Macaca fascicularis: one gene and its partner. The protein of the gene in region 1 interacts with the protein of each later gene in a biochemical or structural test. Links are inferred from orthologs where the notes say so. Each region holds a gene or a part of one and is shown in the gene's direction. Other genes may lie near its edges.

What was found.
Region 2: the proteins of SPTBN2 (region 1) and ACTR1A form a complex in vitro, tested with the Homo sapiens proteins (2 studies listed by BioGRID). The link is inferred for Macaca fascicularis from reciprocal best matches to the Homo sapiens genes SPTBN2 and ACTR1A.

What each region holds. Positions count from the first base shown.
Region 1 is NC_088388.1:7,674,941-7,680,726, forward strand, and holds part of SPTBN2 (spectrin beta chain, non-erythrocytic 2), read left to right. Parts: intron 1-986; coding exon 987-1,138; intron 1,139-1,566; coding exon 1,567-1,740; intron 1,741-2,524; coding exon 2,525-2,616; intron 2,617-2,760; coding exon 2,761-2,841; intron 2,842-3,159; coding exon 3,160-3,275; intron 3,276-5,786. UniProt on the Homo sapiens protein: Probably plays an important role in neuronal membrane skeleton.
Region 2 is NC_088383.1:111,490,769-111,496,554, reverse strand, and holds part of ACTR1A (alpha-centractin), read left to right. Parts: intron 1-1,175; coding exon 1,176-1,300; intron 1,301-2,529; coding exon 2,530-2,746; intron 2,747-3,797; coding exon 3,798-3,890; intron 3,891-4,734; coding exon 4,735-4,909; intron 4,910-5,011; coding exon 5,012-5,073; intron 5,074-5,738; coding exon 5,739-5,779; intron 5,780-5,786. UniProt on the Homo sapiens protein: Part of the ACTR1A/ACTB filament around which the dynactin complex is built. The dynactin multiprotein complex activates the molecular motor dynein for ultra-processive transport along microtubules.

The sequences.
Region 1 (5,786 bases):
ATGCTTTCACTTTGTCACTTAGAACGTTCTTAATTTTTATTTTCCTATGAAACGTAGTACTTATTTCCCCTCTTCAGTAGCTCCCCTCCTCTGTGGGCTGGGCAGCAGGGCATTGCCTAACTTTTTTTTGAGATTGGTGCCTAACTCTGCCTGGCTTTTTTCCCTCATGGTTCCCGGCCTCACTGTTTTCCCAGTTGCCAACTCTCAACATCTTGTTCTTCTGGGCAATGGGGTGTTTATGTCCTGGAACTGGATCCCCTTGCAGCCTGTTGAACGTACCGTCCCCAACCCCCAAAACAGAGGAGCCTGCCTTTTCTTTTAAGTTATCCAAGGAACAGTAAGCTGACTCAGGAGGCCTGCAGCCTCTATACCATCAAGTCCTAATGACCGCTTGGAAGAGCCGCTGCTATGATTTTAGCCCACACCCTCTCCTTTGTCCACAACCAAAAGAAAACAGCCATACCTCCCACCGGCCTGGGCAGCTCTTGCTCTCCTGCAGGTCAGATCACACCACTTTATAACAGCAGCTCACCAAGGAGCCATTTTGTGCCGGGCACCAACTAGATGTTTTATATACCTTATCTCATTTAATCAACACAATGACCTGTTGAAGTAGAAAGTGATGTTCCCATTTTACAGATGAGGACATTGGGGCTCTGATGGATGAAGTCACTTGACCAGTGTTCCACCACTTACACGACTGCCCCACTCCAGCCCCTCCCTGCATGTCCCACGGTTTCCAAGGTCTTCATCCTTTCTTCTCAAAGCCTGTTTTCTGTCTTTCATCTTTCTTCTTTACCTTGCTTATGAGCTCATTCCAAGTTACGGGCTTTCCTCCTGGTCATCTGCCTTCCCTTCCTCCTCCTTGGAGGACCCCGCTTCCCGAAATCTCTCAGGCTCCTCCATCCCCCACCCCTGCCAACTGGTGTTTAGAAGCAGGCATGCTGAACTCGAAGGACAGAAATAACCCCATGTTGCCACCGCAGATGAACGAGAAGCCGTGCAGAAGAAAACCTTCACCAAGTGGGTAAACTCGCACCTGGCCCGGGTCACGTGCCGGGTGGGGGACCTGTACAGCGACCTCCGGGATGGACGCAACCTGCTGAGGCTCCTCGAGGTGCTCTCGGGAGAGACACTGGTGAGCTGTGGTCATGAAGGGAAGAGGGGGCCTCAGAAAAGTGTCCAAGGGGACCAGCTGGAGGAACAGCCCTCAGAGAGAGTGACGGCATAGGGCGGGAAGCAGTGGCTCCCCCTGCTCAGAGGATGGGTTCATTTCGAGCGCCTTTGCCACTTGGATTACATAGGAGCACTGCTTCGTGGAGACAGGAACAGTGGCCCCATTGAAAACATTTCTTTTTCCACCTACTCTGGGTGCAATTAATTCCCTTGGGAATCTTAATCTGCCCAAGCCTCATCTGTAACCTCAGCTTTGGCTCCAGCCCTGGGGCTGTGCCTGTGTTCCTGAGGTAGGTCATGGGGAAGGTGTGCAAAGCCGGGCCCTGGGAAGGCTGGGGAAGAAGGTGGAAGCCCACAGTCCCGTGCCATTTTGCCCCCGTCCCTCCACAGCCAAAGCCCACAAAGGGCCGCATGCGGATCCACTGCCTGGAGAACGTGGACAAGGCACTGCAGTTCCTCAAGGAGCAGAAAGTGCACTTGGAAAACATGGGCTCCCATGACATTGTGGACGGAAACCACCGACTGACCCTTGGGCTGGTCTGGACCATCATCCTTCGATTCCAGGTACCCCAGCACACTGTCGCACAGGGTGTGGTTCCTGCCCTGATTCTGCACCACAGACCGTTCCTGCTGGCCCGTGACACAACAAACACAAAGACGGAGGATCTAGAACCTTATGTAGCAGTTGCTATTGTGGTGCTATCCAAGCACCAGATCAGTGGACTCCCCTCCTTCAACAGGGTAGAAACCAGCGTGGGTGAATGGCAAACCCCTGTGGCAGGTTCCCTGTGCGCTGCTCTGTGTATTGGTCCACAAGGGACTAGAAGTTTTACAAACTGGTCCTTCACCACAAGGGATTTGGGAACTTCCAGAGGGTCTGGTCACTGGCCCCAATCCCCTGCCATAAACTCTGCTGGCCTCCCCCAGTGGAACAGTCACCCTCCTCCTTCCCATGCCCCAGTGTCCTCATGTCATCACAGCTTTCCTGATCACCCTCTTCCTTCCCGGGTTCTGTCGGCTTCACCTTGGAAAGCCAGCTTTCAGACACCTTGGAGAGCCAGTTCTCAGAAAAGATTCACTCTTCTGCCTGCAGTTCCCCACCTGGAGGGACCAGCACCTCCACTCAGGGACACATCCATTCTTCAGCATCCTACCCTAATCTGCTGCCTCAAACCCCTTCCACCCAGTGTTCTGTGGTCCCTGGCCTAGGTTGAAAGGACCTCAGGCTATGCCTGTCCACCCCATTACCACCGTCTAAAGAGTGGTTTCCTGCCATTTAGCTGAGCATCTCTGATAACACCAGGAGTTCCTGTCCAGGGAGTGAGGGCCCTGCTTGCTTCCTTCCTAGATCCAAGACATCAGTGTGGAGACAGAAGACAACAAGGAGAAGAAGTCAGCCAAGGATGCCCTGCTTCTGTGGTGCCAGATGAAGACTGCAGGGTGAGGATGCCCTGGGCATGTGGCACTGGAGGGTCAGTGACCCCCAGGCTGTGCTGGGCTCCAGGAACCATGAGCTGGTGACTGCCCTGGAATCACAGACCAGGGCTCAGCCCTACTCACCATTTTCCGAATCTCTGTTTATAGTTATCCCAACGTCAATGTACACAACTTCACCACCAGCTGGAGAGATGGACTAGCCTTCAACGCCATCGTGCATAAACACCGGTGAGAAGATGGGGTCGTCTAGTGACCTCGGCTGCACATGTGGAGACAGAGATGAGACGAGCTGCACAGCAGTCAGAAGGAAGGGATAGCACTCGGAGCAGAACCAGAACGTGGGGGTGCAGGACTGCACAGAGCGCTTGTGATGGGAAGCAGGGGAGGCGGTATGGGGAGGGGCTATGAGCAGCAGTGTGGGTTTGGGATGCCTACTTCTGGACAAAATTGGGTCGGTGACTTAGGGATAAAGATTGGTGTGGGTTTCCTCTTCCTCTTTAAGATCTCACATGTTTCTGATCCCTTCTGTCTTTCCTCCCCACCCAGGCCAGACCTGCTGGATTTTGAGTCTCTGAAGAAGTGTAATGCGCACTATAATCTGCAGAATGCATTCAATCTGGCTGAAAAGGAACTGGGACTTACCAAGCTGCTGGATCCTGAAGGTGGGGCCAGAGCTATATGAAAAAGAGGTGGTAGGGTAGAGACAGGAGGTGGACCAGTGGTTGCCAGGGGCCGCAGAGGGGGAAGACATGGAGTAACCACCAACCGATACAGGGGCTTCTTTGGTGGGGGAAGAGAATGTTCTGGAATTAGAAAGTGGTGATAGTTACACAAGCTTGTAAATATGCTGAAAACCATGGGGTAGCTCACACCCAGCACTTTGGGAGGCCAAGGCAGGAGGATCGCTTGAGCCCAGGAGTTTGATACCAGCCTGGGCAACATACTGAGACCCCATGACTACCCCTCCCCCTAAAAAATACATCTTTACACTGAAAACCACTGAATTATATACATTAAAAGGGTGAATTTTGTGTTATGAAAATCATTTCTCAGTTTTTTCTAACAAAAGACTGTAGGTCAGAAGAAGGGCAGCCCAGTGACAGAAAGAGCACTGGGCTGTGAGTTGTGTCCCGGGCAGAGCACACAGGAGCTCTGTGACATACAGCCAGTGGCTGGCCTCTGTGGCTCAGTTTCCTCATGTCTTAAAAGACAGAATTGGTCTGTAAGGGTTCTTCGAAAATTCTAGGATTCTAAATTCAGCTACATGTTGCTGGCCACGGTGGTACCTGCCTGTAGTGCTACCTGCTAGGGAGGCTGAGGTGAGAGGATCACTTGAGCCCAAGAGTTCTAGGCTGCAGTGGGCTATGCTGATTGGGTATCCACACTAAGTTCAGCATTGGTGTTCTCCTGGGATCAGGGGACCACCAGGTTACCTATGGAGGACTGAACCAGCCCAAGTCAGAATGGAGCAGGTCAAAACTCCCACACTGATCAGTAGTGGGATCACACCTGTCAATAGTCACTGTACTCCAGCCTGGGCAACAGCGAGACCTGTCTTTATTTTTTTAAAACAAATTTTTAAGAAAAAAAATTAAGCGGCTGGGTGCGATGGCTCAAGCCTGTAATCCCAGCACTTTGGGAGGCCGAGACGGGCGGATCACGAGGTCAGGAGATCGAGACCATCTTGGCTAACATGGCGAAACCCCGTCTCTACTAAAAAATACAAAAAACTAGCCGGGCGAGGTGGCGGGCGCCTGTAGTCCCAGCTACTCGGGAGGCTGAGGCAGGAGAATGGCGTGGACCCGGGAGGCGGAGCTTGCAGTGAGCTGAGATCCGGCCACTGCACTCCAGCCTGGGCGACAGAGCAATACTCCATCTCAAAAAAAAAAGAAAAAAAATTAAGCTGCATGACCTTCCACTCTTACCCAGACCTGGCCTGTGGTCAGCTGACCTTGCTGATTGGTTCCTGTGGTTCTGGTCATAATGCTGACAAGATAGATGAGATCAGTAACAGCGATTGGGCTCTTTTTTTATTTTTGAGACGGAGTCTCGCTCTGTTGCCCAGACTGGAGTGCAATGGCGCGATCTCAGCTCACTGCAACCTCCGCCTCCTGGGTTCGAGCAATTATCCTTCCTCAGCCTCCCGAGTAGCTGGGATTACAGGCGTATGCCACCAGGCCGGCTAGTTTTTGTATTTTTAGTAGAGACGGGGTTTCACCATGTTGGTCAGGCTGGTCTCTAACTCCTGACCTTGTGATCCGCCCACCTCGGCCTCCCAATGCACTGGGATAACAGGTGTGAGCCCCTGTACCCGACTGCGATTTTTCTCTTATTTGGTACCTGGTTCTGCACTTGACATGCTTTAATCTTCACAATACCCCTTTGAAATCAGTACTGTTATCCTCAGTTTATGGAAGAGACGATGGGGGCCTATAATGGGTGAGCAACTTGCCCAAGTCCTCCGGCAGATGGAGCTGAGATTGGTGTTCAGGCAGCCTGGCTCCAGAGCCTGTTTCTTCTGCTGCTTCTGGTAGAGTGGAGACCAATCTTGGTGCAGCCAGAACAGGGAGGAGAGAAGGGCCCAGTGACTCCCCTGCTGGAGGTGCTCCTGAAGTTCACTGGGTGGATGTTCGCTGGTCTTGGCCATTTTCTCCCTGTTTTCCATTCTACCTGTAGCCCTATCACCTGGACCCTTTTACTCCAGAATGACAAGTGTCAGCGAGCTAGCAACAGACATAGGCTTCATGCAGTGCTCCTTAGAGAGCCTCTGGGCAGCATGGCTGTAATTCAGAACCTGGAAATAAAGCTAAGCATTCTGTAACTTTCCGAGATGACTTCAGTGGCTCCTGCCTGCCTGCGTGTTTCCAGAAATGGGCAAGAGGCTTCCAGTCTCATAGTCTTACCTTTAGGATAAAATCTGGCCTATTTAAAAGAACCCATAGATTTCAAGTTACGGTCAGCCTCGGTTGTGTGGTGGAAGCCAGTTCGGCTTGAAAGACACTCCCCTCCTTGGGCCCACAGCTGAGGTTTGGGATTGAGGTTAGAAACAGTGTGATCACACCTGGAGATGGTGCTGAGAGCTGGCCTCTGTCCCCACTGAGCTGCGGGGATCACAGGGCCCATTGCTCTGTGCATCTTAGGTTCAGGAGGCTTAGTTCATACCTTCTGTCCTG
Region 2 (5,786 bases), on another chromosome or scaffold:
TGCTGAGGTGGAAGGACTGCTTGATCCTGGGGGTGCTGAGTTTGTAGTAAGCCAAGATCGCACCACTGAACTCCCAGCCTGGTTACAGAGTGAGACCCTGTCTCAAAAAAAAAAAAAATGCAGAGAGGTGCAGACTAGGTGTATCAATTTCCAGGTGCAGGTGGGATGTTTTCAGTTTTGTTTTTTGTTTGTTTGTTTGTTTGCTTGCTTTTTTGAGACGGAGTTTCACTCTTGTTACCCAGGCTAGAGTACAATGGCACGGTCTTGGCTCACCGCAACATCCGCCTCCTGGGTTCAAGCGATTCTCCTGCCTCAGCCTTCCTGAGTAGCTGGGATTACAGGCATGCACCACCATGCCTGGCTAATTTTGTATTTTTAGTAGAGACGGGGTTTCTCCATGTTGGTCAAGCTGGTCTCTCTCGAACTCCCGAACTCAGATGATCTGCCCGCCTCGGCCTCCCAAAGTGCTGGGATTACAGACGTGAGCCACCGTGCCTGGCTGTTTTCAGACAGTTTTTTTAAAGCAGTGGTCCCTAACCTTTTTGGCACCAGGGACTAGTTTCTTGGAAGACAATTTTTCCATGGGGGTGGGGGCTTGGGGTAGCCAGATGGTTTCGGGATGAAACTGTTCCACCTCTGATAATCAGGCATTCGATTCTCATAAGGAGTGCCCAACCTAGATCCCTCACATGCGCAGTTCACAGTAGGGTTCATACTCCTATGAGAATCTAGTGCCTCTGATGACCTGACAGGAGGTGGAGTTCAGACAGCAGTGCTCACTTACCTGCCACTCACCTCCTGCTGTGCGGCCTGGTTCCTAACAGGTCACAGACTGGTACTGGTCTGCGGCAGGAATTTAGAGTTTCACAAAATCTTCTTGACAGTTGGAGATATGCAGTAGACACAGGGGCCTGTATAACAATCTTGGAGGACAAAGAGGGGAGTTGGAGGGCACAGCTGAGGACAGAATGAAATTTTAAAGGGGGCATTAACTTGAAAAGTTGAGAAACCTACTTGGGTAGGGATAGGTGACAGGCACAGCTTGCCTTTTTTTGGAGGGAGGCTGACAGAAGTCCCCAGGCTCTCAAAACAGCAAGGCAGGGTCTTCTCCCCCAAGACTAATGAAGATGGAAATCTGTCCTTGGCCTCATTGTCTCCCGGGCTCCTTTCACCAGCATCCTGTGCTCCTGACTGAGGCGCCTTTAAACCCACGCAAAAACCGGGAACGAGCTGCCGAAGTTTTCTTCGAGACCTTCAATGTGCCCGCTCTTTTCATCTCCATGCAAGCTGTACTCAGCCTGTGAGTAGCAGCTGGCTAGCCCGGCCCCTGCGGGGAAAGCAGTCCTTTGGCACAGCTGAGGCTGACTCCCCTCTGGGATGGTTCAGAGTAACTTGAGCCCCCTCTGCTAGGGAAAGGTTAAAGATGGTAGGAAAGAGAGAGAGGCTTTTGCTGAAACTGAGCACTTAGGCTTCGTAGTTGAAAGCAAAGAAGGATATGTGGCTGCTATTAACCATATGCCAGTGTTAGGACTCCTAGTGGGTTTGGTGCCCAAGGCCTTGGCTGGGCCTGCTGAGGCAGCCACATGCTGCAGCAGCTCTTCCCGGAGGCCCCTGTAATGTGTCCGCTTATTATTCAGTATTTACTGTGGCCGGCTGCTCCGCCAGGCTGCTGAGACAACCATGATCCGAATGCCACCACAGTCCTTGTTCCCATCCCCCATGGCTCCTGTCACACTCCTACCCCACCTCATACCAGGATGAGGTCTACGGCAGAGATAATCCATGAGTGACCTACACATGGGATTTATTTGACCCCATTAACAAATCGTGAGCCAGCATTTAAAAATCAAGAGCTGTCCCATCAAAATCTAAATTTTTGGCTTCTCTGAAACAATGGGAAGATCTGGGAATGCCGGGCACACATTCCCACAGGGCAAAAATCAGCTAGAGCTAAAGAGCGGCTGCCACTTGAGATGGGGCTGGCAAACCCACCCTCCCCACAGCGCGCCCATGCTCTGTTGGCCTCCCCGCCCTGAGCAGGGGGTCAGTTGCCTCACTTGCCTTTTTTTGGAAGGAGGCTGACAAAGGTCCCCAGGCTCTCAAACCAGTAAGGCAGGGTCTTCTCCTGCCTTCATTTTTTATGGAAGTGAAAAATATTCTTATTTTTCTTTACTCTTACTTTTCCTGCCTGGCCCCTGTTGGCATTTGAGGGTTTTTGCCTTTTGTCTAGAGAGTTAAAACTGGCCCTAGGCTGGGTCTCTGAAGCAGCTGAAGGCCAGGCCATCTCAGACAGGAAGGCCTGCTCTTCTGGGTGCAGGGAGGGAACTTGGAGAAGCTCAGCTCCTTCCGTTCAGGTATTTCATGGCTTGTTCCAACACCCAGGCTTCCTTAGTACCCAGTCCATTCTACAGCCCCTGGAGAGAGGCAGGCCCAAGCTTTAGTTTAGCTGACATTGAACTCTAAAAAGAAGTGTATTTCCTCCCAGCGTGAGGAGGCAGTGCTGAGTGACGATTTGCCCCTTTGCTTCAGTTATGCCACAGGCAGGACTACAGGCGTGGTGCTGGATTCTGGGGATGGTGTCACCCATGCTGTGCCCATCTATGAGGGCTTTGCCATGCCCCACTCCATCATGCGCATCGACATCGCGGGCCGGGACGTCTCTCGCTTCCTGCGCCTCTACCTGCGTAAGGAGGGCTACGACTTCCACTCATCCTCTGAGTTTGAGATTGTCAAGGCCATAAAAGAAGTAAGTGCTGCCCCCTGGGCCTAGGGATGGAGTGGGGGTTGGGAGCATAGCATCCAAGACCTTGGTCACCTGCCAGTAAAGCCAGGCGAAGCACCTACCTGAGGGTCCCTGGTGAGGCCCTGTTCTTTCCAGCCAGGTCTCCCCCACTTCACACTGACAGATTCGCCTTCCTGACGTGCTGCCATCTTATTGGGGGAAAGAGAGCTGCTTCCATTTCTTCAATTGGGTGATGGCTACATAGAGGCTCAGCATGTTTTTTGTACCTAATATGCAAATTACATAGGGTTTTGTTTTGTTTCGTTTTGTTTTGTTTCTGAGATGGAGTCTCACTCTGTCACCCAGGCTGCAGTACAATGGTACGATCTCGGCTCACTGTAACTTCCGCCTCCCGGGTTCAAGTAATTCTCCTGCCTCAGCCTCCCGAGTGACTGGGATTACAGGTGCCTGCCACCACACCCCACTAATTTTTGTATTTTTGGCAGAGACGAGGTTTCACCATGTTGATCAGGCTGGTCTCGAACTCCTGACCACAAGTGATCTGCCTGCCTCAGCCTCCCAAAGTACTGAAATTACAGGCATGAGCTACCGTGCCCAGTCCTGGTTTTTTTATTTTTATTTTTTAACATCCTTGAAGAAGTCATAATACATTTAAAACATTTGTCTTTGTAAGTAAAAAGAACCCTCCTGCCACCTGTGGCTATAGGGAAACCTCTGAGCTGAGGAGGACCAGAACCATATGAGTGGTAGAAAGAGAAAGATGCCTGGGCCTGGTCTGAACTTAGGTTGTGGTCTCAGACCTAGGATCCAGAGGCCAAGTTTCCAAGCTTGCCCACCAGGAAGGTGGAGCAGATAAGAACTCGTATGCTAAATGCCACCCAGTGAAGGCCAACAGAGACCTCCCTGCCCCTGCTTCTGGGCAGCAGCTATAGTGACCACTGGGGCCATCACAGTGTGTAGACAGGTTTGTGCAGCAGCACATTCCTCCCCTGGGCCTTTGACCGGGTGTGCACCAGGTTTCCTGCCAGCCTGACTGTCTTGCTTGGTTCTGCAGAGAGCCTGCTACCTATCCATAAACCCCCAGAAGGATGAGACGCTAGAGACAGAGAAGGCTCAGTACTACCTGCCTGATGGCAGCACCATTGAGGTAGGTGGCCTGCCTTCTTTCTTCGGTCCCCTTAGGTCCACAGAAGCTCTGGGCCCAAACAGAATTCCCCATGAAGGTCTGGAGTCTGGCAGGCCAGTCCCTTTACACCAAGTTTGTCCAGCCCCTGGCCCATGGGCTGCATGTGTCCCAGGATGGCTTGCAGTAAGGCCCAACACAAATTGGTAAACTTTCTTAAAACATTATGAGATTTTTTTTTTTTTTGCAATTTTTTTTTTTTTAGCTCAGCAGCTATCATTAGTGTTAGTGTATTTTATGTGTGACCCAAGACAATTCTTCTTCCATTGTGGCCCAGGGAAGCCAAAAGATTGGACACCCCAGCTTTACACCCTCTGTCTGGAGCAGCAGAGCTCCTGAGCATGAATGGCCCTGTCTCCTGCAGAGGAGGCAGCAGGAACCTTGCTCCCTCCCGCTAGAGGGGAGGAAGCTGCTAAGGGATTGTCCCACATCAGTATGAGATTAGGAAGTGGGATGGTTAGTGCTATCCTTCACCACACCTGGGCGCAGTGTAGGGTGAGTTACCACTCCTTTGAACCCCCATTGCTAGGAAGACGTTTCCATGAGTAAATAAATCCATGAATTGATGCCAAAGACCTCTTGGCTGGAAAATGCCAGAGCAAGAATGAAATATAGGAGCCTCCCCTCACTAGTTTCCAGGAGCCCTATCTTTGTTCCTTTAAGCTCTTAACATGTAGAGTCTGTCTTGAGCCTGGCCTTCATAGCCACCTAGTTACTAAGTGATGTGCAGAGGGGCCTCTTCCATTCCCACTCCCAAAGGGACCTTGGTCCCAGCTCCAACATCTTCAGCTGGTCCTCCTACCTACAGATTGGTCCTTCCCGATTCCGGGCCCCTGAGCTGCTCTTCAGGCCAGATTTAATTGGAGAGGAGAGTGAAGGCATCCACGAGGTCCTGGTGTTCGCCATCCAGAAGTCAGACATGGACCTGCGACGCACGCTTTTCTCCAACATCGTCCTCTCAGGAGGCTCTACCCTGTTCAAAGGTTGGTCTTTTCTCTTGGAGCCCTTGCCCTGGAAGTGTTCGGCTCCTGCTGGCTCCAGGCACCCCGAGAATTGACTTGAAGTTCTCCTCTTTGCCTGTTCAGGTTTTGGTGACAGGCTACTGAGTGAAGTGAAGAAACTAGCTCCAAAAGATGTGAAGATCAGGGTAGGAGCATGGTGGGGCCTGGCCTGGGTGGAATTGGGCTTCCATGGACAGAGTCCCACCTGGTGTAGCTTCCCTCTAGCTTTGCCCAAGCTCTTTAGGCAGCCATGGCTCTACAGGCAGCACCAGGTTCCCAGCCTGTACACTGACCCTGAGGTCTAGGTCTGCCACAGGGAGGCTGAGTTCTCATTCTCCCTCTTCACGCCAAAGGAAGGCAGTTCTAATACCCAGATGAGGCAGGGTACTAGGTAGAGGGCCCCCTGCATGATCTTTCAGGGAAACTATAATCTTTAGAGGAGACTGACTTAATGTTGCTGTGCTGCCTGCCCAGGTGGCTACCCTGTCACACAGTCTGACACCTTAGTGACAGGTGAAGGGGGTTGGCTATCTGAGGAGAGTAGGGATCCTAAAGAAAGGAGTACAGTCCCTGCCACGGAGTCTGCTTCTCCCTGGCTGCCCAATAGCCCCAGCTTCCCTGGGACCTGTGGGGACTGGAAACCTGCTTCCCCAGATGAGTGGGAGGCTGGCCACAGTGCCCTCCAGAGAGGCCAGAGCTTCAGGCTTGTGTGAAATGTATCCCCCGCCATGGGCAGAAGGAGAAGCGTTGTAGGGAAAGGGAGTGGGAGGACTGGAAGTCTCAGATTTCTCTTTCCCCGCCCCCTTTGCAGATATCTGCACCTCAGGAGAGACTGTATTCCACGTGGATTGGGTGAGTA